Arabidopsis thaliana: one gene and its partners. The protein of the gene in region 2 interacts with the protein of the main gene of each other region in a pairwise test. Each region holds a gene or a part of one and is shown on either strand. Other genes may lie near its edges. The genes, in order: HB28, HB22, HB25 and HB31.

What was found.
Region 1: the proteins of HB22 (region 2) and HB28 interact in a two-hybrid assay, tested with the Arabidopsis thaliana proteins (one study listed by BioGRID).
Region 3: the proteins of HB22 (region 2) and HB25 interact in a two-hybrid assay, tested with the Arabidopsis thaliana proteins (one study listed by BioGRID).
Region 4: the proteins of HB22 (region 2) and HB31 interact in a two-hybrid assay, tested with the Arabidopsis thaliana proteins (one study listed by BioGRID).

Annotation. Positions count from the first base shown.
Region 1 is NC_003074.8:18,912,032-18,919,723, forward strand, and holds HB28 (homeobox protein 28), read left to right. Parts: upstream 1-3,982; 5' UTR 3,983-4,274; intron 4,275-4,381; 5' UTR 4,382-4,388; coding exon 4,389-5,138; 3' UTR 5,139-5,355; downstream 5,356-7,692. Other genes in the region: MNP (GATA type zinc finger transcription factor family protein), read left to right, coding at 1-338; AT3G50880 (DNA glycosylase superfamily protein), read left to right, coding at 1,478-2,299; AT3G50900 (uncharacterized protein), read left to right, coding at 6,091-6,435.
Region 2 is NC_003071.7:15,345,181-15,352,613, reverse strand, and holds HB22 (homeobox protein 22), read right to left. Parts: upstream 3,404-7,433; 5' UTR 3,288-3,403; coding exon 3,203-3,287; intron 3,084-3,202; coding exon 2,689-3,083; intron 2,604-2,688; coding exon 2,526-2,603; 3' UTR 2,324-2,525; downstream 1-2,323. Other genes in the region: RPL24A (ribosomal protein L24), read left to right, coding at 795-805, 1,292-1,367, 1,477-1,578, 1,667-1,815, 1,910-2,066. UniProt on the Arabidopsis thaliana protein: Probable transcription factor.
Region 3 is NC_003076.8:26,132,415-26,140,310, forward strand, and holds HB25 (homeobox protein 25), read left to right. Parts: upstream 1-3,587; 5' UTR 3,588-3,764; coding exon 3,765-4,604; 3' UTR 4,605-5,140; downstream 5,141-7,896. Other genes in the region: AT5G65400 (alpha/beta-Hydrolases superfamily protein), read left to right, coding at 1-82, 327-428, 557-648. UniProt on the Arabidopsis thaliana protein: Putative transcription factor.
Region 4 is NC_003070.9:4,936,008-4,945,227, forward strand, and holds HB31 (homeobox protein 31), read right to left. Parts: upstream 5,326-9,220; 5' UTR 4,594-5,325; intron 4,091-4,593; 5' UTR 4,008-4,090; coding exon 3,069-4,007; 3' UTR 2,747-3,068; downstream 1-2,746. Other genes in the region: AT1G14430 (glyoxal oxidase-related protein), read left to right, coding at 1-46. UniProt on the Arabidopsis thaliana protein: Putative transcription factor. Probably involved in the regulation of floral induction.

The DNA of each region.
Region 1 (7,692 bases), on a different chromosome or scaffold from region 2:
AGAAGGAAGAGAGAAGAACTACTGCGGCTACAGGAAACACCGTCGTCGGAGCTGCACCGGTTCAAACCGACCAGTACGGGCATCACAACTCTGGCTACAATAATTACCATGCTGCCACTAATAACAACAATAATAATGGTACTCCGTGGGCTCATCACCACTCGACGCAGAGGGTTCCGTGTAATTATCCGGCAAATGAGATCAGGTTCATGGATGATTACGGCAGTGGAGTAGCAAACAACGTTGAATCCGACGGTGCTCACGGCGGTGTTCCGTTCCTTTCTTGGAGGCTTAATGTAGCGGATAGGGCAAGTCTTGTCCATGACTTTACCAGATGAAAGGAGAATAGAAAACGACGTTAGATTCTCTTAAAATTTCCATGTGGTTTAATTATGTCTAATTAAAAAAAAACCAAGAAAATATTTCTGAAAAAAATAGAAGTGTATATCGAGAGACGATGTTGATGTTTATTGATAGTGACGGTCTAACTTATGGTTTATCTATAAAGTACCGTTCTGGTCAATTTTTAAAATCATTTTCTAATATTTATTTTAAAAATATAACCTTCTTTTTATGGAAATCTTCTCTTCTCTAGTCTATAAAATAAACACTATAGTTAGATTCTTCTATTGATTACACAGTGATCGTCATAAAACATTACAGATGTAATCAAAACATTAGAAAGAAAAACAAAAAATGAAAGATGTGCATAAGAGAAAACACACAGACCAAAAATATAGACATAGGATATAACTCTTTTAATGTATATAGTTTAGAGTTGAACGGAGAAGTTTCAGTTCCACCTGAGTCCCTGAATTTCACAACTGAGACTTTAATAATAATAATATTCTTACTATTGGTTAATAAAAAATAGAGAAAATAAAATAAAAATTAGGGTGTTTGGTAGTGAAGATTGAAATCTGATCGTCGAATTGGGGAGAGATTAGATTCTGATCGTACCAATGTGGGTTTTGGTACTGTTGTGTTTTCAGTTTTGGATCAGAGAGCATTGTAGTGATTTAATGAACATATATTTGTCGTATTATGCTCTGCTTCTTCCTCCTTTATATTTTGACCGTCGTTTTGTCCTTTACTCACTCCTCTCTTCTTGACCTTTTGTTCGTGTCAATATGTGCTCTCAAGAATATTGTTTTTCTTCCTTTTTAATTACTTACTTTTTCCGATTTTTTATTACTGAACCGATTCTGCAACATGTTTTGTACTAGTAACCAGCTTTTTAATCCATCTCTCTCTGCACGATCATATAAAATATACGTTATTTTTTTTCAATTCAGGCGTCGACAAAGAAATAACTGTTTTGTTGTACTTAACATGTTGGATCATATTTTTTTTACTGTAACAGGGCTTTTATTATGGGCTTATCGATTTTCATTAAGGCCCAATGAAGAATATCGTCGCGAGTGATAAAATTTCGAATTTCTGCAATTACTAACAATTAACAAACTCGGCCGTCGTCATGTCTCTCCGTAAAACCCTAACCGCCGTGAATCAATCTTCGTTACCGCCGGATTCTTTAATCTCCGCCGGTAATCTCACTGTTTCAGAGGTCTCTGGTTCATCTTCTAGAATCAGATTTCGTCCTCGTAAAATCAGGAAAGTTTCGTCAGATCCGTCGCCGAGGATCATTATCACCGCGTCTCCTCCTCTATCAACAAAATCGACTGTTGATATCGCTCTACGTCACTTACAAAGCTCCGATGAACTTCTCGGAGCATTAATCACAACGCACAACGATCCTCCACTGTTCGACTCAAGTAATACTCCGTTTCTCTCCTTAGCGAGATCAATCCTATACCAACAACTCGCGACGAAAGCAGCGAAATGTATCTACGATCGATTCATCTCTCTATTCAACGGTGGAGAAGCAGGTGTTGTTCCTGAATCTGTGATCTCACTCTCCGCCGTTGATCTTCGTAAGATCGGTGTCTCCGGGAGAAAAGCTAGTTACCTCCACGATCTAGCTGATAAATACAACAACGGTGTGCTTTCTGATGAATTGATTCTGAAAATGAGTGATGAAGAGTTGATTGATAGGTTAACTTTGGTTAAAGGAATTGGAGTGTGGACTGTTCATATGTTTATGATCTTCTCGTTGCATAGACCTGATGTGTTGCCTGTGGGAGATCTTGGTGTGAGGAAAGGTGTGAAAGATCTTTATGGTTTGAAAAATCTTCCAGGTCCATTGCAAATGGAGCAGCTTTGTGAGAAATGGCGTCCTTATAGGTCTGTTGGTTCATGGTACATGTGGAGACTAATCGAGTCTCGTAAGACCAAATAGCACCTGCCTGGTAATAGTTTAACAATACCTCTCTTTTTAGGTTGATAGTAACTAGAATTGTTATGTTACATAGACAAACTTGATTCTTTATAGAATATTTCATGCTTGACTTGGAAATTTGAACAGTTACATGATTAGAAAGGATAGGAGTATAACATTTGTTTGACATTAAGTTCTCTGGATTGGTTTTTGTTTGGAATGCTTTCTAGAAGTAGAAATCTCCCAAATCTTAAAACAAGAATCATAAAGTATTTATCTTTTCTTGATGTATCTTGTTTATCTAGCAATAGTATCAATCCTAGTAAGTAACATGACGATACTTTATCACTGAAGCTTCTATATCTGGTAGTTATCGTTGAAGTGTGATTTGTTGCAATCAATCATTTCAGTAATCGGGCAGTTAATATGATCCTGTGACGAAGAAGCTTTTCCATGCCCATCACTTCCTTTCCAAGTTTCACTTGCTGGTAATCTGAGTTATTTTGTGTCTGTAAATTATGGAGCACGTAAGAAAAATCCTTCTTGTATTTTAACTGTATTCCACGGATTATATTTCTGTGACTGTTGTAAACATGTATCATGTATGGGGTTTCATTTGACTTGGATATTGAGAAGCATGGCTTATTTACCAAGTCTTTTGTTTCTGTCTTGTACTGGGCTTGGCCCAATGTCTCATCCGGCCCAATTGATCAAGTGGTAGATAGCTTGGATCTGATTTTGCCAAGACAGATGTGAAATCAACCCTTGCTTTCTTTTAACTTAAAATAGTTATAGGAAGAAATTACTCTTATTCAGAGAGACGAATTTAAAAGTCTAAGATGTCACGCGTAACATTCAAACCTCTTAATAAAAGTTTAGTATATGGCTAATCTATTCCCGTTGATTGATTTCAATATTTGGTAAGAAATGAAGATGATCATAAAAGTGCTACACAGCTGTGGGAAACAAAGAATCTGAAAAATGAGACATGAGGCATGTGGAGATAAATAAAAGTGCAGGTTTTGTTGTGCTTATGTGGACCAGCTTTTCATTCTTTCACACTTTTAATTCTTCAACCCTCCCCACCAGAAAAATAATTTATCATGTCTTCTCTTTCAAGACTATCATTAAACTCTGATTGTTAAAGCTTATTTCATTAAACAACTCTATTAGAAACCCTAATTCCATTTGTATGGGAAATTGAAGCTATAGTAGTTAACTTCTAACTCCATGCAAACCATAAATACCTCTCATAATGATAGTAAGAGTATTATTTTCTCATTGATTATCACAATAAATCTGATCAAAGAATTTGTGGAGATCGATAAATAAAGATACTCCTACTATTATTATGACAGCATAAAGGATTGACAAACATTGTTGTTCGAAGTTTTAATCTATTTTATGATATGTTAGAACTTAAAATCATAGTCCTAAAAATTTATAACTAACAATACATAAGACATAATTTTAACTTACATTAGAAAAAAGTTTTGAAAACTAACCCATTTAACTAATTTAAAATAATCCCATAACTTTCCTCTCATTTATCTCTCTCTCTCCACTCCTCAAGTCTGTACTTAGTAGGTAATAGTTTGACTAAGCTAGGTTTTTTTGCAGACATACATTAATTAGTAACACCATCAATAATCATCATAAAAGAAAATAGAGAGAAAGAGAGATAAATGCAATAATGGGAGATGGACCAAAGGTGCAGGTGGTGAAAGATAACAAACATATGACAATGTCTCGAAATTAAGAGGCACCACCACACATACACACACACTCTCTCTCTCTAGTAGGTTTGTGTTTTTAAAATCAATATTTTTGTTGGATTCTCATGTGAAATAAAACTTGATGGGTGATAGGAAACAAACACACATACGTCATCATCATCCTTAATTTCTATTTCTCCTTCTTCTTCATCATCAATATCAATCTCATCTTCCACTACTCCTCCCCTCTAACAATAAGCAGCATCTCTATAATCCCTAAGGTGAGTCCAAAAGTCGTCTATTAATTATTAAAGGAGAGATTTTTGCATGCATTATTGAATGATTTATAAGTATTAATATTTAACAAAGTTTTGTTGTTTTGGGTCAGATTCACAATGGAGCTTGGAGGAAAATGCAATGCAATTACAACCACAACAATGATCTCAACAGAAGTAAAGCCACATACGGATCCGGAACCAGAAGCCAAACCCGAATCAGATCCATCCATGGCTTTATTCCCGATCAAGAAAGAAAACCAAAAACCAAAGACACGTGTCGACCAAGGAGCTAAGTACCGGGAATGTCAGAAGAACCACGCGGCCTCAACCGGAGGACACGTGGTGGACGGATGCTGCGAGTTCATGGCCGGCGGAGAAGAAGGTACACTCGGTGCTTTAAAATGCGCCGCCTGTAACTGTCACCGGAGCTTCCACCGGAAAGAAGTGTACGGACACAGGAACAGTAAACAAGATCATCAGCTGATGATAACTCCGGCGTTTTACAGCAGTAACAGCTCGTACAAGCCACGTGTAATGCATCCAACGGGTGAGATTGGACGGAGGACTTCATCTTCAAGCGAGGATATGAAGAAGATTCTGAGTCATCGTAACCAAAACGTTGATGGGAAAAGTTTGATGATGATGATGATGAGGAAGAAGAAGAGAGTGAGGACAAAGATCAATGAAGAACAAAAGGAGAAGATGAAGGAATTTGCAGAGAGATTAGGGTGGAGGATGCAGAAGAAAGATGAAGAAGAGATTGATAAGTTTTGTAGGATGGTGAATCTGAGGAGACAAGTTTTTAAGGTTTGGATGCATAATAACAAGCAAGCAATGAAGAGAAACAATAGTAACATTAGTGAATAGTTTGATGATCTGATAAAAGTGAAATAAATTTTTACAATCCTGTTTTGCTTTTATATATAATTTTTGCCCTTCAAATTATTCAAAATCTTGAGTATAAATCTGTGGAATCTTGTATGTTTTGATTGTTTTATATTGTATCTGGGATTATTTTTTTCTTTTACTTAATTTGTGGTTGAACAAAGTGATAAAATTGGACCTTCAAATAAAGAGGGAAAAACGTGTGTAATTAATAATTTAATGCACAAGTATGGTTAGTACAATTAGCTGGAATAGCTCAGTTGGTTAGAGCGTGTGGCTGTTAACCACAAGGTCGGAGGTTCGACCCCTCCTTCTAGCGTTTTTTATCCTTCAAATGGCTGTTTTAAAATTCTGATTCATACTTTTTTTTTTCTGTCTGAATAGAAAGTTGATTTTGTTTGAAAAATCTGATTCATAATCATGTACATGCATGATAACAGTCTGATGTTAAACCATCGTAAGGAGCAGATTTAGCATTCTAGAATAGATCTATTCTGCTTACTTTTACCCCAAATTTAGATTTTTCCATGATTAATATATTGTTAGATATGGATCAGACAAAGAAGATTAGTCTAAACTCTAAAGCCATTGTCCATTTGATTTGTCTAAAAGATGTAGACGTAATAGTCAGCATAAACACACATTTGACCGGCGATTTAATAGGGACGAACAAGAAGATGTATACATCATGTGGGTGTAACACTAACACATGCTTTATTAATTACATATACAAAAATTTAATTTAGTTAGTTGGAGATCTCATACACACAACAATAATTAAAATAAAAGTCAAACAGATCTACTATTTTCCTTTTCATATCACAAAGCAAACTTGTCCTACTACTTAAATCAACACCATCACGAAGAAAGTTTCAAGAACTCACCTAAAACACAAACAAAGGAACTCCACTTTTTTTCCACACCACATCACACCATGTTTAGAGCCATGAGCACAAGGAAAATCCATGGTGGCTACGAAAAGCTCGGCGATGAAGAAGCGAGACTGAAGAGGGTCTCTAGCGTTCCGGCTAGTGTTTATGGTCATTCAAGAAACCCGGTTCAAGAAGTGAAGAAGACACCGACAGCGAAACCAACCGGTGGTTCTGTTCATCCTTTGTTTAGTTTCTTTGACGTTCATTTTCAAAGAAAGAAGAAGAATACGGCGAAGAAGAAGAGTTTAGCAACGGCGAAACCAGAGTTTGCTAGGTATATGGAGTATGTGAGAGAAGGAGGTGTGTGGGATCCGAGTTCTAACGCACCAGTGATTCATTACAGATAGATTCGTCAAGGAAAATGAATAAAAGATTTGTATATCGTCTTTTTTTTCCAAATATATAATCTATGAGAAAGCCAAACAATCCTTGATTCGATTCGAAAAGATGCATCAAACAATGTATTAGTCATTTTTGCACGAATTGATGAGTGTTTTGTACACTCTCATGGAGATTCCGTGAAGAATAAGATAAGTTCAAGGGTCTTGACTTTAATATATGATCAAAAAGTTGATTTTGGTTTTCTTATTTAAAAGGATATGTTATATGAACTGAATCAATTCGTAGTAGTTGCTAATATAGAAGCGGTCCCAGAGCTGATATCTTTGAATCATGTTCTATATTCTTCATTTCCCACCTTAGCTTTTATTTTAAGAATTCAAAATCAAGTGAGAACAAATTCAAAATAAAGTGAAGAAAAATTCAAAATTTCCAGTAACAGATGCATATTTGATTTTCCCTTTTCATCAAAAAATAAAGTTACGAATAAAATATTATTATATTAAGGAGAAAAAAATAGATATGATCATAGTCTCATATTTCTTGTGAAGACCAGTTTTTTTTTAAAACTATATTGTTAACCAAGTTTGAATACTCGCTCTTTATTAAAAGCGTGTTCACATGGGTCACGTAACACGTTTAAGAAAAACCTGGCTCTAAAAATATTATCAAAATCCCAGATTTGACGAAGACAAGAAAATAAAAAAAGACTTTTAAAATCGTTTTCAAAATGGGCTTTACAGATTCGTGAACAGACAAAAATTGGGCCATGGGTTAATTTGCTTTTTAGGCCACGTCACCGTTTTAGTGACGTTTCTGAATATTCGAGATGTGACCCCACTTAAACAAGATCCCTTGGACGACGTCGTTTCGACCACTTCACGAAACCCTACCGTCGATTTATTTACACAAAGTACCCCTTCATTGTATAGCGCCGTCCTTTGCTGTAACTCTTACCGTCAAAGGTTATATCCGTCTTTCCAAATGTCTCCCAAAGACACGTTTTAAAAAAATAAAAATAAAACGAAGAAAATCAGAAAATGGGTCGCCAAGAATAGAGGAAGAAGCAAAGAAGAAGAAAAAAAAAAAACAGAGCGTTTCAAATATTTGCGGAGATACAAAGCTGAGAAGAGATAAAAAAAGCCTTGGAGAAGAGGTTTTCTTCTTCTTCTTCTTCTTCTTCTTCTTCTTCCCTCCTCTCCTCTTAACGATGTCGTATCACGCTTCTTCTTATCTTCTCCGCCGTCGTCTTACTTCCGTATAAC
Region 2 (7,433 bases):
GTTGACCATCTTCAGAAATAGAGTTTGTCTAAATTGTTGTCATTGTGTTTTGCTTGTATTCAAACGTTGTATTATTATTTGCGAGACGATAGATAAAATAAAAATGGAAGTCTTTTTCTATTCACATCTTCAATGTAACTACAACAAGAAAACAGAACATGTTTTGGTAATCTTTCTAATTGGAGGAAGGAGGGCAATTGATTTGGACTTGGCTAAGATTGTTGAACAACAAAGGCAACTTTGAGACAGTTGACTAAAGAAAAAGACATCTTCAGACAAATCTAACCACAACATCGTCTTCCCACTTGAGTGATTAAATTTTATAAGCATTTAAGTATTGTGGTTCCAAAAGTTTTGTCAACCAATGATAAGAGAGATTGCAATGGAATGATTCGCGGATCATCTTGGTCCATATACCATTTTAGCCGTGAGTTTTTTTCTTGGAATTTATGTATAGTTTTGTGATATATTGTTCGTGGTTAAACGTCAAATTCGAAACAAACAAAAAATGATGCATGTGAGATATGGAAGTCCAAGCCAAACAACATTTGGTCCTATTAAGACTGTACTAACTATCATTTTTTATTTATTAGAGGCCATCAAATCTTTGTGTAATGGGTTTTTAACTAAAACATTTCTTTCATGGGCCAAGACATTTAATTTCGGCTAAAAGGCCCATTAAACTCCTCCAAAACTAGGGCTCAGGCGAATTCATCTGCCTTAAATAGATTCGTAATTCTAGAAAACAGATTTTTTAGGGTTTCAAGTGAAAAGAGTAATAGCGCGGCGGAGCCATGGTTCTCAAGTAATCAATCTCTTCTCTATATCTCTCTTCTCCATGCTTCTCTGTTCATAGGTTTACATTGTTGCTAATGATCCATGTGAATATTGCTACTGTTGAAAATGCCAATTTGCTAAAATGAGCTTCTTTTGGTTCAAATCTGTTTATTTCCCGATCAGAAATGTCTGCAAATTGTGATTTTCTGGTACGAGATATGGCTTGTGTTCGGCAATAACTAGATCTTATTGTTTCCCTTCACTTTGCAACATTTTTGTTTGTAATTCTGTACATTGAATTAATTGTGTTTGGTCTCTGTTTCAAATCATTGTGACTCTTGTGAATCGTATTGTTTCTCTCATTGGGCAGATATCTAATTAGCCATTTACTAGTTCTGCTTTTAGGACATTGTAAAATGAGATGGCTTTGAATGTGTGTCCTGTGACTGTTTGTGATTGTGACCAGGGTTGGTTTTGGATTATCACTAAACCATTGATTATCTTTGTATTGTAGGACTGAGCTTTGCCGATTCAGTGGCCAGAAAATTTACCCTGGTAGAGGGATCAGATTTATCCGATCGGACTCTCAGGTACTTTATTTTGGTTAAATGTGTGCTCTACTTGTTAAGAAGAGTCTTATCTGTTGTTACTATGTATCTGTATTGATTAAATCATCTTTGGTTTTTATGGTTGTATTAGGTGTTTTTGTTTCTCAACTCCAAATGTAAGAGGTATTTCCACAACAAGTTGAAGCCATCTAAGCTTTGCTGGACTGCTATGTACCGAAAGCAGCACAAGAAGGTAATGTTTCTTTTTTTAGTTGCTTCTTGTTTTCATGATTTAGTACTATTGAATTCTGTTGTGATCTTTGTTTTCTCTCTTCTTACAGGACGCAGCACAAGAGGCTGTGAAGAGAAGGAGACGTGCAACTAAGAAGCCTTACTCAAGGTCGATTGTCGGTGCTACTTTGGAGGTTATTCAGAAGAAGCGAGCAGAGAAGCCTGAAGTTCGTGATGCCGCTAGAGAAGCTGCCCTACGGTTTGTTTCTTTCCCGAAGACAGTCACTATATACATCAATTTTTTTTTGAAACTGAAATGTGATTGATTCAAAGCTAATCTGATGATTATGCAGTGAGATCAAGGAGAGAATCAAGAAGACCAAGGACGAGAAGAAGGCAAAGAAGGTCGAGTATGCATCAAAGCAACAGAAGTCACAAGTGAAGGGAAATATCCCCAAGAGTGCTGCACCCAAGGCTGCTAAGATGGGTGGTGGTGGAGGCAGACGTTGAATGGAGCTATAGAGTAGCCCACTCTTCTCTCTTCACTTATCTTTCTTTCTTGTTTTGACATTGTTTTGTTTTGTCAGCCATTTTTTAGTTTTGCACCAGATCTAATATATTCAGTTTATGAAAACTTTTTGTTTGGTATCAATCCCCTTGTGTTTTACTCGTAGATCCAAAAACTGCTAAATAGAATTTTCAACTTGGCTTATTCTAGGACATTATTAGTGGTCTGAGCTAAATTGAGCTTTGGTTAAGCATTGATTATGGATCTAGAGTTCTTGAATCACGATGTTTCTTCATTAACTTCAACTTAGTAAAGAACCCTTTACACGAAAATCACTTAAACAATACTTAATACAAAGGAAAACAGAATCAGCCATAGAAATTGTTGCTTGTTTGGGACTAAAGCTACAAATTTGAGCCATTTTGGAGATATAACTGAAGTGGAACTTATATACTATTGCCTCAGCTGCAGGCTTTTTCCCAGGTTTGTTTCTTCTTGCATGAACTATCCTCTCTTATCATTGATTTCAGTTGTATTAGCTGTTGAAACAAAGTGAAAGTAACTCAATGGATTGTAACTCGAAAGCTTATTTATTAAGTTAGTATTGATCACTGGAGTAATTACCTCTTCTTGTAGCAATTCCTTTTCTCTAGAGACAATATCAAACTCTTGTCTTAGTGATTCATAGAGATGCTCAAGTTGTTTGTTCTTCCACCTGGCTTTCCTGTTCTGGAACCAAACCGCAATCTGTCTCGGCTGCAGCCCCAGTTCTTTGGACAGCTTCATCTTCCTGTCCGGATTCAGCTTCATCTTCCTGTCCGGATTCAGCTTTATCTCTTCTTGGAAACTTCTCTCGAGGAACTTTAGCTGCTCGCTCGTCATCTTCTTTTTTTTCTTCTCCTGTCCATTAAAACTGTTGCTTTCTTCTCCATAGCCACTCTCTACCATTGCTAGAGGAACATGAAGTATATCTTGTTGTGCACCCATCATTGTACCTAAACATCTGTTGTCTTGGTTTCCTACAAATTCAATACAAGACAGAGAGAGACTTGTAAAGCGACATACAGTTGAGTGAATGATTAAGCATTAAGCATATAAACTAGCTCTACTAAAACCTAGTACTATGGATGCATGTTACCTGAAAAATGGTCAAAGTTATAGAAAGGAGAGATGAAGCTGGAAGAAGACGCGCCATCGATGAAGGAGCTGCTCCAATATTCCATCTTCTCTTCTTCTTTTTTTTTACCTCTTTTGTCTATCTCTGCTTACAACAATCACTTTCAAGAGACTATTTTTTACCTAAACAAGGAAATGAGCAACTTTGGGTGTTTGATATGGGTGTATCTTTATCACTATATGCATATGTTAGAACATGCAGGAACATTATATATAGATAAGTAAATGTGGTTGAAAACGCTAGGGCTTCTGTTTTTAACTTCGGGTAACTAATTGGTCACTATCAAGTAAGATAAATATATGTGTAAATGAATGGTTTCATTAGTCTGACCGGTAACAAATAGTACTCCGAACGATGAGGGTAAGAATAGGCGGTGTTGAGCAAATGCATTATACGATACAAAACGAGCTAAAAAAAGTTAATGGTGATTATTTAGTTTGAAATTTTTGTTAAAAATTGATTATTATTCTCATATTCTCACATGACCTTGTATGTTTCCATAAGTAAGATATTTACATAAGTAATAACGTAGGTATTTCGTATTATACGTGACCAATTAATGTGGATTTTAGTATATATAAAAGAATAAAATAAAATGAAAGTAATGTGAGTTGAGAAAGGAACAGTAAGAGTAAGAGATAGAGGTGAAAAAGAAAAGAGAGAATGGTCCAGATTCTACATTTGTACAAATGTCTATCACTTTCTCTACCTTAATTAACCAACCAATCTGACATATATGAATTCAAACTTCTACTCTCAATCTGTAATATAGCCTCCAGTTTTCATCTCTTTGTATGTATATGTATTTGTAAAGTCCCCACAATCTTTATTTAACACTGTGGAGCTGCAGGGTGCTACTCCAACAGATAGATCAGAAGGGTCCAATTCTGATCCTGACAAAATTTGGGAGCACACAGTGCACTAGTGAAAATAGTATCATCATATCGATCTACGTGTTTTTTTGGTATGATCCGGCGATAAAGTATAGTTAGAAATTGAATGATGCAACTTATCTTGAAGAAATGGTAAATGCTTATATGGTTAGATAAAGATGAAGTTTCTAGCACTAGTTATGTTTCTCTAAATCAAATTCTACGGTTTAAACGTTAATTGTGACTGACATAAGTATATTTTGTTCCATTTCCAAAGCACGTAACAACTACATCAGCCAATTTTTGATGTGATTTCAAGATGGGGATATTTTTTCTGTATCAAGTCATTGGATTGAATAAAAATAAAAGATTTTCAAAGAAAAAAATCTTAACCGGTGATCCTAATTTTTTTAAACTGACTTTTTTTTAATAATTTATTTCTCCCTTGTGTATTAGTTTATACATCTTTACCAGAAACAAAACTGTATCTAAATCATTATTAATTTTTCATAAGCATTTGGAAATATTGTTAATTATATATATTTTTTATATAACATGTGGTATCGAAAACACGTATAAGTTGGGAAACGGAAAAAGAGCCACTAGTCCCATATGATTTTGCTTAAAATAAAACAATGTAAACCAAATAAATTTGTAATAGATTATAATCATAAAAATTGGTTTAACTTTTCGTGTTCACATATGTTAATGAAAGCGAACAAAAATCCTACAAACGCTAGAAGATAAGAGTAATTAGTTAAAGGCTCTTTTGAATCCCGATCGAAGATATATTTGATCATCAATGTTGGAAGGGATCAATAATGAGAATGTAACTACAATAAAAGTTACATATAAACAGAATAATTAACCATCAGGAGCATGATGGATAATCAAAGATGCCAAAGAGATCTACTTATTATCTGCTAGTTCTAAGCTAAATCAAGAAGCATCTCTGTTAGAAGCTGAAGGTATAAAGCCTGTTAAAATCTATTGAATTCAACACTTTGGGATCGAGATACGTAACTATTATTGTCACAATCCAATGAATAGAGAGAGTGTAGAAGTGATAAATTGAGTGAGTAAATACTAAATAGTACTACGAAGAAAGCTATATTATGATAATCTAAAAACGAGGACCATATAGTATAAAGTTACAGAGAAATAAAGCTCAAGAGAGCAGCGTGTTGTGTCATTTACTGAATGTTTTCGTATAAAGAAGAAGCTCACTAGAATTGTTTCCTTCTTTATAGGTCAAAATTCCATGTTAGTTAAACACCAAAACCAACGGTTAATGTTTTCAGTATATTACGTACTTGCTAAACAGAGAGCATGGTGAAATCTAGTATAAGAATTCTTTTTACAGACAAATTTGACAATAACATCTTTCTGACATGTACTTTGGCACTGCCAAATGCCAACAAGTGGAAGGCAGAAGTCACAGAACCTGACTTTCCATTTGCCATTATTACCTTTTTGGTAATTTAAGTCGAAACTGTCACGTGTCTCCCCGTCGTGAAAACGAAATCAACATTCAATACGAAAATAGACATTGGAATAACAACTTAAACTACGTTTTAACAATTACCCTAACATTAAAATGGTCCCTTTTAAAGAATGGTCCTTACGTTTGAACAAGACCCTTTTCTTTCAAGTTACAATTGTCAAAGCCTATCTATTTTCATTTTTTTTAAGTAATCACAATTTGTACCCACTTTACATGTTCATATTGAATCGACTGGTGATATGAAATGGTACAAGTTTTTAACTATAGTATGAGATACAAGCAAAAAATGGACTTTGAACCGGAATAATTGTGGTGTGATACTTTTTTTTGTTAACACAAGGAACATATGGAAACTTTCAATCCTTATTTGATCTGCCAGAGAGAGAATTGTTCTAAAAGATTCACAAAACTGAGAGCCAAAGATCAACAGTTTACGAAAAACAGGTCAAATAACATGATCACAAACCAAGTATTGCAATGCTCTTGATCATCTACTTCTGTGTTAACACTTTGATATCTACTTGCTAATTCTACTTAAGTTCAATGAGTTTCGGAAATATTGTACCTTCATTCTTCTGTTTCAATCCAATTCCAGTATCTGTGATCTTCGATTCCAGTTATCGCCATTCCTCTTGCCGAAATCGCCATACAAAACCGTCCTGTCGATCTATCAGCAATGGAAACAATAACTAACATTCGAAGTATAATTGGGCCGACCACTGTCAACAATGGGCCGATTTATAGATGGACAAAAATAGAATTGGCACGCCCGGTGGGACTCGAACCCACAATCGTTTGATTAGAAGTCAAACGCCTTATCCATTAGGCCACGGGCGCTTTTGTACTATCACCTACTTACATTTATATATATACTAAAACGATAAATCTCTTTGAAAAAGATTAACATACAATTACTAGAAATAACAGAGGCAAATCATGTGTATAACGGGGACATAACCTTAAAGAATAGATTTGGACAAAGTTTTGATTTAATTTCTTACAAGATCAAAATTGTTGCAACTCTTCATTAGATCTCTAAAGCTAGCTTTCAATTTCAATTTCAGTGTTATGTATACTCTAAAAAAGAAAAAGTGTTATTTCAGTTTTAGCGGATGTTGATATATCGTATTGTGATGTCACATTTGAAAAGAATGGTTTTAAGTATTCAACCAAAAAATTGGTCTAACATAAATGTGTTGATAGAGGTCCCGGCCGGCCACTTTTTAAATAAATCAAACAATAAAAAGTCAAAACTCTAAGAGAATTTAGTACACTATAAACTTTTGGCCTATTTATTATCTTTCGTGTCACGTTACATATTTTCGTATCTAGTCTTATTCAGCCTAACAACAAGACGGCAGAAATGTCCAAAAAATCTTTAAGGATCAAGCTGCGTACACTCATTTCCCAACAACACTTCAACGGTCTAAAGAAACATTTAAGTGTCTTTCCAAATTCACAGCCACATACATTTCAGAGTTGATGTTTTTTTTGTTTTGGATTGTTTTGTGATAAGTCTAACACTATCATTTGTACAATTTGTTCATATATTATCCCAATTTTGCAGTAAATGATTGTGTCTAGATCTGAACCACTCAATTCCAAAGAAATTTCTTCATTCACCACATTTTAATTGTGCTTGCTTCGTAATTCGTATATAATGAAAGAAACTGTTCAACAACTTCTGATTTCTAAAATCTTTTAAAAATCTCTCCGCCACTTCTAGTTGGACTTGATTTCTCACCATAGTCTGTCCCGTTGTTACCGACCATCTATTATATAGGGAAAGTCTCTTAGCTACAGAGACACAATAACC
Region 3 (7,896 bases), on a different chromosome or scaffold from region 2:
CCAGGGTTGATGTTTGGGGAGCCTAAAGCTGCTGTTAATGCATTCTCATCTCCAGTTCGTTGCCCATCACTCCACTTCATAGGTAAACTGTTACTACGTTGCGCATGTTCTTGACTTGATTTCTCGGTTATGTTGTAATGCCAAGTTTCTGTTGTTTGAAGCTTACGTTAGTAGTGTGCCTTTAGTGTAGCCAAGATTGGCATGGGAGTGTTTAGACTAGAATCTAATCTGCAGCACTACATGTTAACGTTAGAGATTCTCTCCTACAACATTTGATATGACATAAGAGACAACTTGTTTGTAATTCTGTATCGGTTTTGCTGCAGGTGAGAGGGATTTCCTGAAGATAGAAGGTGAAGTGCTTGTAGAATCATTCGTAGAGCCAGTGGTGATCCATCATTCAGGTGGACACATTATACCAAAACTCGGTTAGTAAGCATGAAAGGCTGATCATTTAAGCTCTGATTTTTTTTGGAGAAATATGCAATTGAAATAAGTAACATAAGATCTGTCTCTTCTTAATTTACTCTAATGAGCTTATCTTTGTCTTCTGCAGATACTAAAGCTGAGGAGACAATGTTGAGTTTCTTCCAGAGCATTAGGCAGATGCTTTCTGATGAATCAGGTTCTGTAAGAAGCTTGATGTGACTGAGAGCTACTCCAGTATGGTTTACTTTAGATTAGATGATCTTGCAATTTTATAAAATTGTGAGATGTGATTATTCTTCTGGTTTAGTCTTTATCCAGGGACAATTCAATAAACGTAAATTATTAAATTTACCAACCAATATGGATTGCCCGTTCATGTAATTACAGTTTATAGAGAAGAGCCAAAGATGGTCAAATAGTTTGGTACAATTGTCTTCCTTTAAATATATGAGCAGCCAATATCAAAAACTCTATTCAAACTTTTTTCTTTGTTATAGGAAAAATGTTAGGAGAATTTAACAACAAAAAAAAAAAATGATGGAAGAACAAAAAATATGGAGGGGGGCATCAAAGAAGGTGAGTTAAATTATTGTCCTTTAGATGTATTAATGGTCAAATGGATCTCATGATAATCTATGAGTTCCACTTGTAACAAAGTTTTACTTCTTTTTCAATCTACCCCCTTATACCCTATTAACTTAGCCTTGTCGGTTGCTTTCTAGTCTTAAAAAAAAAACAAAATTTCAACTCTTTTTTTATTCTTGTATGAAATAATTGATTGAACATATCGAATTACAGATCATATGATTACCCCTCATTTCAAAATAAATATATGATAAACAGTAGACGTCGACATGGGTTGTGTAATTTCAGACTTATATGTATACCCATCATAAGTATTCTCACGCTTGCAAAGCTTTAACTGTTTAGTTTTCATGCACTTTTAACAAATCATCATCATAATCTATTTTCAACAATTTGCTTATATCTTGAAATAGTTGTTTGGTTTAGTTTTTGTGTTGTTTTCCCTGTTCTCATGATATACCAAACCACTATTTTAATAAGAGGTAGAAAATAATTTCTCGTGAGAATGTCTAGTTGTGAATTGTGATGACCGTATCAACATTAATGTATAGATATATGCAATAAATTGAATTTCAAAGACCCTATCATTGACTTAGGAAATCTATTAACTCATGAATTATGTCTGGCATAAAACTGTTGAATAGTTTTTACATGTTTCTTTTGATAATACTACTTCTGTCTCTTTAAGTTTTTGTGTAACCTATTTATGATTTCTAATTTTGAGATTAAGAAATTTTGAAATTCGGTTTAGTAAGAAATGTAACGTTATGATGATTTACGAATAATGAACGGAGACAAATCCTCTGTGTGTCTCCACGTAGGAAAGCGGTTTCCCGCCAGCTGACAAGTAACACGTAAGCACGTCATCTCAAACGTCTTTCAGGAATCCATTTGCTTCATTTCCTCCTCTTATTAATATTTAGTCGGTGTTTTATATATTTTCAGATCTTTATTTTTCTTGTAACATAAAAATTACACTTTTTTGTTCATGTCAAATGAGTTTTCATTATTCACTCTTAAATCTTAATCTCTGCTTTGAAATTTGAGCCGTACAAAAACATTCGCATTTATTGTTGATGCGACACAGATGTTACTTTTATTTTATTATACTATTATTCTGAAGGAACGGTCAGCTGTATTTTTATAGTATAATTTTAATTTAAATCATCATAATCTGGTTATTGAAAAATTATTTCATTTTCAACTTTTTATTGTTTTATAAGATTGGAAATATTTGAATATTGATGAGAGCGAATGTTGGTTTCCTTCTCGAATTCTCGTATACCAATGCTAATATTTCTTTAAAGAAAATACTCCATAGTATGTTTTTTCTTTAAATTTAATTAGCTACGTCAACAAATTTTTTATATTTCTCACAAATAACTTACGTAAATTCATCATGCAATTTTGTGTTGACAAGACCAATGACCCTCGACTGAATTAATGAAGAGACTAGTCGTTAAAAAAATAATACTCAGTTATATGAGTATATAATAGTGCTGGTCGTTTAAAGAAAACAGTAAAAGCATAGTGAAAGGATAAAAACTGTCGTCGGAGATCTAACGTCAGCATAAGTTAATCAGAGGCTGAGAAATGATCATCTCATACGTTTCGTCTTCACATTTGCAACTAATCTACAAGTATTTAATGTATCATTAAACTTTTGTTTACTTGATGACACAAAATAAAACTAAATAAAGTTTTATTTTAGTGTTTATATATTTATACTGAATTATTTAGTAATAATTCTGAAAAGTTGACAACAAAATTCAGACCTTGAAATTATTAAGGGCATTACTGATTTTGATGTGATTAGACTGCCCATCACTTTATTGCAGAAAAATATTAATGCATATATTTATGCTATTGGCATATGGACAAAAATAATTATCGCGTTTATTTTGATTCTATCCCCTTTTTTTTTAGTTTCCCAAAAAGTTATCTCTAATATCATCTCCTCTCTCTTTTTGTTTTTTAATCCTACACTAAGCTTTTTGTATTGTTGTATTGTCCAAAAATAACAAAAGCTTATGGAAAACTTGTAAAACCCATAAGCTACCTAGTGTGTTTTAAGATGAGCCCTAGAACTACTCCTGAAGAAGACAAACATGTTTAATTATATCATTTTAATTCAAGATTACATAAATAAGTTTTTAGTGTGTCATTTTTAGAAGAAAATTAGTAATATTTCGTTCAATTTTCACATGTAGGTAACAATCTTTACAACTTTAAGTAATAACCCAGGAAAAAATAAACAGTAAATGGAATCAAGTAAACACGAACTCAAATCAATTTCTTTTTAACGTGTCTTTTTATATCATAAACATGGTTAAAATTTGTGATCTAATACAAGAATAGTTGACTAAAACAAATCATGCATGGTCAGAGCGATACGACCAAATTGAATAAAATAATAGGAATATATAATTAATAAGAAAGTATAATAGCTCTTCAAGTAAAATTAGAAAGAAAGAAAGAAATAATGCAAAAGATAAAGAAAGCGTTACAAAGTGTGGTTGAGGACAGATTATATTAGATTCCGATTTCCAATAAACAAGAAATTATATAGCAAAAATAAAAGATAAAAATAAAATAAAAACACTTCTCAAATCGGCAAATCCAAAAGAGAGAGATAAAAGAGAGAAAGATAATCTCTTTAATGTCCACATTATCTCTCTCTTCTTCTTCACCTTCTTGAGAAACCTCCTCTCCCCAAAAACGACGTAGTTTCACATTTCTCGACTTCTTGAATGGAGTTTGAAGACAACAACAACAACAACGACGAAGAGCAAGAAGAGGATATGAATCTTCATGAGGAAGAAGAAGACGACGACGCCGTTTACGACTCTCCTCCTCTCTCTCGTGTTCTCCCCAAAGCCTCGACAGAAAGTCATGAAACCACCGGAACTACTTCCACAGGCGGTGGCGGAGGATTCATGGTTGTTCACGGCGGTGGAGGGAGCAGGTTTAGGTTCCGTGAGTGTCTCAAGAACCAAGCGGTGAACATAGGAGGACACGCGGTCGATGGTTGTGGTGAGTTTATGCCAGCTGGAATCGAAGGTACCATCGACGCTCTAAAATGCGCCGCTTGTGGCTGTCACCGTAACTTCCACCGCAAGGAATTACCTTACTTCCATCACGCGCCGCCACAACATCAGCCTCCTCCTCCCCCGCCAGGGTTTTACCGTCTTCCAGCTCCGGTTAGCTACCGACCACCACCGTCACAAGCTCCTCCTCTTCAGCTCGCTCTTCCCCCTCCACAAAGAGAGAGATCAGAAGATCCAATGGAGACGTCTTCAGCTGAAGCAGGAGGAGGGATTAGGAAGAGGCATAGGACTAAGTTTACGGCTGAGCAAAAGGAAAGGATGTTAGCTTTAGCTGAGAGGATTGGATGGAGAATTCAGAGACAAGACGATGAAGTGATTCAGAGATTTTGTCAGGAGACTGGTGTTCCGAGACAAGTTCTTAAGGTTTGGTTACATAACAACAAACACACTCTTGGTAAGTCGCCTTCACCACTTCATCATCATCAGGCTCCTCCTCCTCCACCACCACAGTCTTCGTTTCATCATGAACAAGACCAACCATGAATCTTGAATTTCTTTGATCACTAGGGTTTTAATTTAGCTTAATTAATTACTTGAGAAATTTGAGAGACAAGGTTTTTATTGTTTAATTTATGTACCCATTTTCCTCTTTGATGATGATGTTGATGATGTTGGTGATGATCTTTAATTTCTGGTTAATTATGTTTTGCATTAGTAGCTTTTTAAGTCTCTTAGCAAAATCTTTGATTGGTCTGACTATAAATTACTGACGTCCTTATTTGCATCACATTTGTCAGTGTTTGAATTTATCATGTTTTGTGTATGAATCTATATGAACTTGATCCTGAATATATATGTACATGTATTTTGTGTATGCATTATTTATGTCTTCTTTAGCATATGATTTCATTTTTATTTTATTTTGTGCAGCCTAAGCTTTTACTTGTTGACATTGTTATATATTGTTTCTTAAGTTCCTGGTGTTTTTGTGTGTTATTATATTTGACTGACCATTATTTTCACCCACACACACATTTGTAGCTAGCTAGATCTGATAGTGTTCTTGTTTCTTAAGTTCTAGGTTTTTGAGTGTTTATATATTTTCTTGATCATTTTTTACCACACATATCTAATGATAAATTGGTTATTGTCATAATTATATCTTATGTGGGATTCTATATATATATATATACTTGTCATTTAATTGTCCAATGAGTGTAGGACTCAAATGTGGATCGGTCGGAATTTCCTTGGGATGGAGATCTCTGCCCTAAGAATTAAATAAGTATTTCAATGGCTTATATTATTATCATATATGCGTGAATTAAATAATTTTTTTTTTCCATTGGAAATGAAAAAGGTGAAATAACATCAGCTAGCTGCGGCAACAGTATTCTGATTCCTGGGAATTAATTCTTCACTTAAAAAAAAAAAAAAAAATTAAACTCAAAACATGTCGATGCATCCAAAGCTTCTTATATCCTCTTTATGTCTTATATTATATGTATATGTATATTGTTCTTTGAAGATCTGGGGAAGAAGGAAACATGTGGGCTTCTTTGGAAGCAAGAAGGAGAAGATAGGAAAACATATGGGCACACATACATTACTGCATTAATGATGTTCTTCTTCCAAATCCCTAGACTTTCATCTGGAACTAATTTTGTTTACTTTTTCTTAAGATCACTCATTCACTTATTTCACCTCTAATGATAATTTAATTTGAGTAGTAAACATTCAATTTAATCGAGCAAAAACATATTCAATTGGTTCCATAATCATTTAGTAGTAATAACAATATCAATTTCAACGAGTTACAGTAATTATAATTAACAAAAGTGGTTCGGCCTAGTAATTTATTTTATGCAAAGTGTGTTTGTGAAAAATTTATTGACTAAGGTATGTGTACATATGAACATACATTATATCTCTCTATCTTACATCGTATACCTGAGAGAAACAAAGATAATGAATTCAGATGAAATTAGGGTTTTGAGTGATGGTGAAATGCAAAGATGCAGAGGAAAGAGGGAACCAAAATGATTGTAAAAGGAAAGAAGAGGCAGATAAGATTCGAGTCCCCATCTCACGGCCATTTCCATATATAGCTTTTCATGTCTCAACCTCTCCATCATCTCTCTCTTTTTCTCTCTCCCTCAGACAGTGCAGTAAAACTCGAAAGAGAGTGAGAGAGAGACAAATATACACACAAATGAAGAGACTTGAGAGAGATGCTTTTGCTTGATAAGGCAATCTCTACGCATTCTTGTCCAAGCTAAAGCTGCACACTCCTAGAGTGAAGATGACTTTGTTGTGGTCCTCTTTCATTTTCTCCCTTCTTTCTTTTTTGGTCCAAAATTTAGTTTTCACAAATTTCAAACGCGTTTACCTCAATTAGTTCATTGATATGGCTAATGAATCGGATCGAATTTAAACTTCGATCAACACTTGTTTGAAAATAATGATTATAGTTGCATGGACCAAAGTTTCAGTTACTTCGCAAATAAAACGCAGTTAGCTCAACCGAACAATATCTAATTCGTTAGAAAATTCAATAATTCAGTTGAACTTTAATACAAATCTTGGCTAAGTTAGATCGTAATTTTACGTATAACTTTTAGTTGCTAGAAATTTTAATTTCGTCTACATTGCTTCATAAATCGAGTTATAAGAGAAATAATGATGAGGACATGTATAAATATTATGATTATAGACTTTATTCAGAGGGGAGAAATGTTTACTCGCTGATGCAGTAATGAGAAATGTTCGTACCATACGTTGGAGTCTGAACTTGTAATAAATGTTCATAGAAAGTAGTGAAAATTAAAGTAGTTAAGTTAATTTATCAAAAAAAGAAAAGTAGTTAAGTAAATGAATTTTAGGGTTGTTTTTGGATGTATGGTGAAATTGAAATTATTGAGGAGCATAATATTTTGATCAGATAATAATACTATTTATTTAAACATGATTTTTTAATTTTACTGTGGTCCTCTTCATGGAATCTTTCAGTCAATACGCAGAAACCCATCGGACAACGACCCATCAATGTGTATATTATGTACCATACATATATTATATGAGTGTATACGTTTATATCATCATCATCATCATTATCATCACCATCATCATCATTCTCACAGTGTTTTTACTGTGGAATTGTTACTGTCGTTATGCTTCATTTAGGGAATCTAAATGTGACCCGCAAGCAGGGTTTATTACCTCCCTTTCAAGCTAAGTTTCGAAACAAGTAGTTTTTTAATATGAAAAAGTAAAAAGCTTTATTTTGATTGCGTAAATTTAAATGTAGGACAAGCTAGGGTTAGTAGGACAAGCTAGGGTTAGGGTTTTATATTTCTTTAAACTATATGATATGGGCATACTCTTAGCTTCATAAACATTGCCCTAATTTGGGAAACTGATGATGATTCACGTGCAATGAATAATTTTTTTTTTCTTTCCTGCTTTACATTTCAATTTTTACTTATTCTTAGATATGTAGTTAATTAGTCATGTCGTACCATGATTCAAAGAATTTTACGATTGTATGGAATTCTTAAATACGTAATTTGTTTTTCTTTATACGAAAGGAAAAATATTTTAGATTTGTATTTGGGTCTAGTGGGATGGTTTGTACCATCTTAGTTGAATTTGCTAATCTAATACAAATTAATAGTTGGGAAAAAAAGGAAAAGTATTTTCTCTTTAGTTCATATGTAAAAGAAAAGGCAAAGGTTGAGAAAAGTTTAGAAGCTATAACTTTTAGCAACTTTTATTTCAGGGAAAATAAAAAATATATAATTTGGACAGTTGAATGACTGTGACGACTCATTATGAC
Region 4 (9,220 bases), on a different chromosome or scaffold from region 2:
GGTTCACCGTGGAATTCCGAGTGTAGCTGTTTGGGTTAAGATTTAAAGCAATCCTTTTATTATTTCATTAGTTTTTTGATTGATTTTTTGAAGAATTGTAGTTAAAAAAAATAAAAAATTGGTGAAAGTTAGTTAATAAAAAAAAAGGAAATTTCGGTTAAGACCCCTACTCCTCGGGAGAAGATATTTGATTTTGTTTGTCCTAGTAGTTGTGATGGTTTGATATGCTTCTACAATCTTTATAAATCGGGTATTGTAGTCAATCCAGCCACTAGATGGCATCGAAGTTTTCCTCCACCTAGGTATAAACAAGTCATTCTCGACAAATCTTCTAGTGAATATAGTAGTGTCTTTCCTTTGCCTTTGCTTGGATTCGGCAAAGACATCATCAATGGCACATACAAGCCGGTTTGCTTATATAATTCACTAGAAAGAGGACTAAGAAACGCTACTACGTGTGAAGTTTTCGACTTTAGGACCAATGTTTGGAAGTATATTACCCCTTCTTCTCCTTACCGGATCATTGCTTTCCATGATCCTGTGTACGTAGATGGGTCGCTGCATTGGTTCACCGAATGCAAAGAAATCAAAGTTCTATCTCTAGATCTTCATACCGAGACTTTTCAAGTAATCTCCAAAGTTCCTTTTGACATTGCAAATTGTGACAACATTGCCATGTGCAACTTGGATAACCGCTTGTGCATATCCGAGAACAAGTGGCCTGACCAAGTGGTATGGTCGTTTGATTCATGCAACAAGAAATGGCACAAAATGTTTACGTTAGATCTGAATATATTTTCTCATGGGTTTGGGAAGCACTTTTTGGCAGTCTCACCAGTAGCAGTTTTGGAAAAGAAGAAGAAAAATGGTAAGTTATTGTTATCTTCTAATCTAATATATAAGCAACAAATGGTGGTACATGATCCCGAAACCAAATCTTATGATTTTGTTTTCAAGAGTAAGAATTCTGGAAATCATGTTTGTTATTTCGAGAGTCTAGTCTCTATTTTATAAATAGATAGATCATTTTAGCTATATTTTTCCTAGTTTTTTTTTGGGGGGGTTTATATTCATGAAAATTGTAATTTCAAAAAGTTTAAATTATTGTTGGCATTTTCTGATCTATTAATTGCTTCTACATCATACATTGTAATTCATAGATTTTGTTTTTCTACGAAGTTAATACGCAATTGTACTTTTTGGAAGAAAACTAATGTTCTGTTTTCAATTGAACTTCAAACCATTCTGGCCAAAAAGGCTTCTCCAAACTCGCGTGGCATTTTTAGTTCCATTGAAGGTTTTGAAAATTTACGTTGCCTTGTTGACACATATACTTTGTAAACAAAATACTAAAACTCTTAGGTTAATTAGAAGGTTTTCTTAATGACCAGTGAGTTCAAGGTTTTATGACCATCCATAAATTTTTTCTAATCATATCAAAGAGATCATAACAGGTAAATAACATTTGTGAGTAATTTGTTTTCTGAAAGATTCAGAACTGAGGTATAATGTCTATGAGATCTGAGTATATTTAAAATCAATCTTATATGATCCACATCTCTTTAAAATGATAATTAAAAGTTTAACAAATATCAAATCCCAATATTTTCAAAACATTTAATCTCTTAAACTCTACAAAGTTAAATCTCATGACCAAATATATACGCTTGACCTCAGAGGGTCTAACATAACAGTTGCAGATCTCTGTACTAATTCGGGCTCGATCGATCAGTCTTTATTGAAGCAATATATAGGATTGTTTTGCAGAGAAAATGTGATCAAAAAGCTAAGAGTAGGAACAAGAGGGGACCTTGTTTTCAGCTACATTAATGGAGTTTCCTTCACAAAAAGATAATAAATAGGGCTCAGAATCTCATATTTTCTTATTTATTGACACCCAAATAAATGTAATAGTGACGACTCTCCATCCTACACATTTAGTCCTTACTGATAAACTAAAAATTACTTGGCGTCAAAAATTAAGTGCACTATATAGTTCTTATACAAGATTGTAAAAAGTTATTATTTTTATTCTATGGTATTTCATAATCAAATTGTCAAACCAAAACTCAAAAATTGAACCGAATAGAACTCCGAAATGACATTCTCACAAAAAAATCGTTTGAAAGAAGACAACTGAATGAGTTGGATGAACGCATTAAAAAATAACACATTCGACGCATGATACCTGATTATTCTATACAGAAACCAAAGCAAATCGAAACATGTGAACAAAAAACATAACATCTAATTATACCACAAATCCTTTTATTTATGAAATGGCACATTACACGAATTATAGTATACCTAAAAAGGTGGAAATGTTATTTAATTCTTGAACATACGTGATAAACAAAGAGGGTTAATAAATGTGATCTCGCTTGTGACACCAACTACATATTTACTCAACCTTATACGTCACACACGAGAGGACATGACTTGCAACTCGTTAGTACACTTTTCACATCTCTGTTAGCAGAAATTATTATTTTATTTTCTTTCTTTAAATTTTGTTATTTTATTGTATGTGCAAGATTGTAATAAAGAATGTTTTGGCCTAAAGACACATCATTCTCCTAACTAGATAATACAATTTTTAAGCTAAGGCGTGAAGTTGTGGTCTCCATAAATACAGTATCCATTTTAGATACTCATACCGATTTCAGAAGTCATGTAGATGAGCTAGGGAAATACGTATATAGCTTATCTTGCATGCAGATTTTGTGAGCACAATGATCACGAACTGCGAAAAGTCTAATGATTCAAAATGATATGTAACCAAAGTAGATTTTCTTACATACCCAAAAGAAGAAGAAGAAGAAGAAAAATACGGCTGGTCATACATTTATTACAACAAGATTAATATATATAACTTCCAAATAAATAAAACACAACAAAGAGCAGAAAATTATATAAAATCCATGGGTTTAACGAGAGATAGCGAAATGAGCTTATATATATAAAATAAAACCAAACCAGCTAGAAGATAAAATTAAAACCCTAGTAGCTAACATAAAGATAACTAAATAATTATCAAAGATCATATAAAAATAACGTTATTAATTATATCATGGGACGATCTTAGTCATGTCGTTATTACCGGACAGATCAACATTGTTGAGATTGTTGATCTTTTCGTTGTCGTTGTCTTCGAGGTTAATGTTGTTCTTCTTGGAGAAATGGATCTTGTTGTTGTGCATCCAAACCTTAAGCACTCTTCTCTTCACTCCAATCTCTTCACAAAACCTTTGAACAACACAATCTTCTTGCCTTTGTATTTTCCACCCAACTTTCTCAGCAAAACTAAGCATCTTCTCCTTCTGTTCCGGCGTGAACTTTGTCCTGAACCTCTTCTTCTGGTTGTATGGCAGGTTTGGTAGCGATCTAGATGCGGTGGTTACGCCATCTTCCTCCATAAAGTCCTCGGACTCGGAGTTGTTATGCATGTACCGGTAGTTAGAGACTCCAATGGGCATGATCATTTGGTGTGGCATAGCTGATCTGATCTTTTGGTGGTTGAGCATGAGTTTTCGGTGTGGAGGGTGTTGGTGGTAAGGGGACATGGCGGTGGCTGCGAGTTCGCCTTCCACTTCTTTTCTATGGAAGTTCCTGTGGCAATTGCAAGCTGAGCAAGTGAGAGCCTCAATGGAGCCATCTTCACCACTTGGCATAAACTCTCCACACCCATCAGTAGCATTGCCTCCCATAGCTGCTGCATGGTTCTTGAGACACTCCTTGTACTTTATCATAGGCTTCTTGATGATAGCGTTGTAACCAACATGATGAGGATCTTGATGATGATGATGATCATAATTGTTGCCATGACCATTACCATGTAACGGCATTGGAGGTGGTTGAGTAGTATTGTTGTTGTTGTGAGTTGGAGGAGCAGAATTAGCAGCATGATGATCATGATGATGGATCATGTGACCATGACTACCACCACCACCAAATGTAGTGTTTAATGGGATGGGCATATCATGATCTTCTTGACTTGCAATTTCCATCTTTTTTAATTGGGTCTTCTTCAAAAACCTTTTGCTTTCTCTTTGCAAATTGTTTCTTGGTTTGGGGACAGAGGAGAGACTAGCTAAGAAGAAAACAAGACAATTGGAGGAAAATATTAGTAACTAATACCAAAATGATTAAACTATTAAAGGTGAATACTTTCTTGATTAAAATCTTAAGAAGTTTCCACTTTTTTAGAAACAACTCACGGAAAGCATTTTTCAAATAATTTTACTAAAAGAAACAACCAAAATTTACAAAACCCAAAATTATAGGACAAAACGAAAGAATACAAAAAAATGGTAATTAAGGAAAATAAAACTCTTATTGCAAGCCTGCGCAAACAAAAGCTGACAAACGCACTTCGAAAGAAGTCTTCTACTTCAATTCAAGTGGGAAATTTATTATCATGACCAGTAAGTAAAAAGAAAATAAATAACAACTGTTCTTTGATTACCAATCTCCTCTTCTCTCCTAATTTTGATGAGAAATTAACAAAAGATAGAGAGAGAGAGAAGTCAAAACTGGTTATGAAAGAAATTTGAATCAGGTTCTTGAACATTGAACTGAATTAGGAACACATACCTTCACAACTAAAAGTAGAAAATTACTTTGATATCTTAATATGCTTCCAAAGTTCAGAACTCTATTGAAGATATTGCCCTTAAGAGAGACAGAGAGAAGATTAGAGATATTAGGGTTTTGTAATGAAAGACTTTGAAGGAAGAGAGGAGACAAAGATTTGCATTTGTGTTTGGATGTGAAGGCAATGTCTTAAACTAAGAGAGTATTAGTAGTGAAAGCCTAAAGCCTAAAAGCAAGAGAGAGAAAAAAAAAACTAGATATTTTCAATTTTTCACTCTCTCCCTTCCCTCCCAGTGACAAATAGAAAACAACAGCATTTAATTATGTCAGTTTTGTTAGTGTATTTATATTGGTTACACAAATAAATATGGTTTCTATTTAACCTAACTATAATTAAAATGCCCCTAAAAAAAAAAGAAGATCAGAGAATTAGAGGGGAGAAACAAAGAAAATTAAAGGTCATGGGGTGATTGCTTTGCTTGCACTATCAGACATCAAAATTTACACAAGTTTTAGAGAGAGGACTGTGTCAGGGAGTGGTGGGCAGAGAGTAAGCAGTGAAACAAGCATAAAAGTCATAATAAATAAAATAACTTAAAACATTCATGAATCATGAGTAAACGAAGCTAATTGCAAAAGAAAAAAAAGGTATGTGTTCTGTATATTTGGGGTTATTTGTTTTGTTGACAGAAGTATTTTTCTGTATATTTTATTTTTGCAAAGAAGATAAACTTACTTTGGTTCACAAAGATATAGATAATTCATACGTCGTCTATAACTTGTAAAACTTTGGACTCTCGAGGTTGTCATGTCATGCATGTGAATTATATTATTAACCAGAAGTTATGGTCCTACAATATTTCTTGTATATTTTATTCTGTATAATAAAAAGCCGTAATTAATTAATATTATTCAATAAGTTTTTAATAAATGAAATCCTAACATTATCTTTTATTTTATGATGATAAATGTTTTTTCTTGCATGGATTAACATTTCTCACATCTGCATAGTATCCAAATTTTTTTTTTTTTACATCAGTGATAAAGTGAAAATATTGGATGATATAATACAGTTGATAAGATTTCTTTAAAATATATATACAGGCGAAATAAGATCCATCACACGTCATTCGAGGCCAAGATGAATTATTTAGTTCACATACACCACATATCGAACTATTATTATAAACTATATATATCGTAATTTGTAAAAACGTTTCTGTAATCTTTTATAAGTACTCTGGAGTTTTCAATCATATATCCAACCAATGAACCAACTAAAATTTCACCATACATAAAATTGCGGTAGCATGTAAAAAGGCAGTGTATTTACAGCTGTAGTTATAATTATGTACCCTCATAATTTTTGTAGTGAATTAGGAAGCATGGGCAAAAGGATCGAAAGTTATGTGTTCGTTTGACTATAAATAGGAAGTCGTGGTAAAACAGAGAATATTGCTTAACATTTCAGAATTACTGCTCTTAGCAGTAGTAGTAATCATGTCATACAACCATTTCAATTTGAAATTACGCTCGTTTAATGAACCATTTTTTTTGTTAATTTAACAAAGACATGAATCACTTTGTTCTTTACTTATCCCTATGGTCTTTAACTCTTTATCCTTTACTACACCAGATCACATATATGAGATACTTTATCTTTTAATTTCTTTCTTGTTTCTGTTTTGTTGTATCTTCTTCTGGTAACTTCTTGAAATCCCCAATTATATTTTTCATAATGATTATTTTTGTCAGTAAATCATAGATGACTAATGTATTAACTATACATTTATCATAGTGCATTTTGAAAATCACTCGGTCTGGCATAACTATTGGATGAGGAGTTGAGCTCAAAACTTTGGATATATAACAGTATTATACTCTATTTTTAAAATGTATTTAGTCTATTAGTATTACGTTTTTTTTTCAAGTGACAAAATAAAAAGGGTCCACAAGAATAAATGACGTTAGGTCGATGGTCCAATATTGTTCACAATTTTCAAGATGTTCGTATTTACTCGTTCTCCTTTTATATTATGACACTTTAATTTGTGTATATATGTAAGTATTTTTTTTAGGGTTGTATATATCTGTAAGTTGTATATTTATTTATTTCCTATATATCAAAATAAAACAAGATTCTAAATGTATTTTTAGTGCTACAAAGATTGTATTCCTTTAAAAGACGGGTGAAATTTTGTATTAAAACACTTAAAAGATCAATAATATTAAGATTCCTTGTAAGTCGTCTCACTAATTATATACTCGTACATTAATTCTTTATATTAGCTAGCTATTAATTATATATATAAGTAAATACTCTATCAAAAGTTACAATTCAAACATGTCGTTTTAGTTAAAAGAAAGTTATAGTATAAACTAATCATAATACCTATTTTTAAGTGACAAGCGTGCAAAGGCAGACGATTTGTTTCTTCTTTTAGATGGAACCATCAATTTTTGGTCAACCAAAGCTTGTATCCTTCAAAAAAATAAAATCTTCTTTTAAGATGCCAACTCTCTTTTCACAATCTTTATCACGGAAATTCAAATACAATTAAGATTTCAATCATTTTACGTTAGCTAAATCAAATATAAAGATTCAAGTCACATCCACAACTAATGATGAATTAATATTAGGCTTGGTTAGTGTAAATATGATAACAATATCATTTGCTATAGTAATATTAGATTGAAAAGGTATGGATTATATATATCCCGTAATTAATGATTGTTAGATTTTATAATCTCACGCATCAGTTATTATAATTCATGAGTATATGAGTTATCATATATGATATGCTACGGTATAATACGGTTTGGAAGATGATACTATTTTTATTTATTTGACAAATGAATCAATACCAAACCTTATACGCGTTGATCTTAGTTCACCAAAATGATTTTACGAATAAAAACGTATTTTTGTAAGTTCCATCATTATATATACCGCAACAAGCATTTACTTTGTAAGCAACACCAAAAATGAATCTTAAATTTCACATTTTAGTCTTTCTCTTCCTTATTCTTATATGCATGTGTGTGCTGTCCTTGCTTTTCTCACACACCATTTCGATTAAACTCAAAGTTTGAGAAATTTGTTTTGATGCATTTTGTTATGTATAATGTTATTATAACCATTTAATTAAGTAACTATTTTCCTCAGTCGACCTATGATTTCAGTTACAAAACTTCTCCAATAACATATACAATGAATAAAAAATCGACACAATGAGCCCTATAAAACAAACCAAGAGGAAAAAGAGATATTAATTCAGCCGTTGGGAACATTCTCAGTCTTTATATTTCTTTTATTAATTCCTTTTCGTATGAGATTCAAAAGCCCCACACCACCTCAATCCAAAGAAAAGTATAACATGTTTAATTAAGTTTTATTTGATTTCTAGGGATTTCCAACATCTAATCATGTGGTTATATAGTATACACGGAAAGCTACGAATTTTTAAACCTATACTGCAACATTTTTATAGCTTAACCCAAGATGCCTCGTTATGTATTACAGTATATACACATTCCCATCACCTTCCATGATTTTATCTTGATAAGTTGAAAAAGATATATAAGTTGGAATTATTTTAAAGTAACCTTGCTTTGAATCTTAACATTCCCTGCTTTTTTCTTATAATTTTAAGTTTTTAACTAGAGCTAGTTTATTTAATTTTTATCATTATTCGATGCTGCATTTCGATACACTACTAGTCTACTCCTATTTTTTTTGGGTGTGTTTATATATAGTCATGTGACATAAGAACATATAAATAAATAACGTACGTATTTGATCTGGCATTTTATCTAAATAAGTAATCAACTTAGTAATGGATATCAAAATTCAAAATCTAAAGTAAAATACATAATGTGTACAAATTATTAAATATTAATACATATAAAAGTTCATAAGCGCACACATTAAATTATGTATACTAGAAACGGTGCAACAGACGAACTGGGGACCAAATTATGGACCAGCTCATAGCCCATTTGCTTTAAATAATCTAAATTCAGAAATGAATAAATGTTGGAAATGGTTCATGATGTATATAGTGGAGGAATATTGATTATCTATTCTTTTTATTTTTATTTTTGCGGAGGAATAATATGGGTTATCTAAAACCCAAAGAATTTTCTTTATAGATCTTCTTTATTCTTAATCCTAATTTGCCCACCAAACAAAATAACAGCAATTCAAATCGAATTTACGAAAGAATCTTCATCTTTTTATTGACAAAACTTTAGTTTCAAAAGCATTATCTTTAAAAGGAACATAAATGACATATTCTAAGATCTACATAGTCCTTATATTCATGACTATATTATTGCCATTATTTTGATTACTAGTGCCTAATTCCGCCATTGACCGGTTGGGATCATCATAAATCCATTTTTGTATAAGTAAGAAATGTCTTTGGGTATTGTGAAATTTCATGTAAGCACTATTTCGATTTGAGTAATTTCTATAATTTTCGCTTAATTGCGTAGTTACTACTAGCTAGTTAGTGTTCTTACAAACTATGCTTAAATTATAATATTCACAATATGATATAAAATGATAAATAAAAGAGTAATAAATATCAAAACGTTTTTATCTAGTGGTTGTTAAAATGTTTTT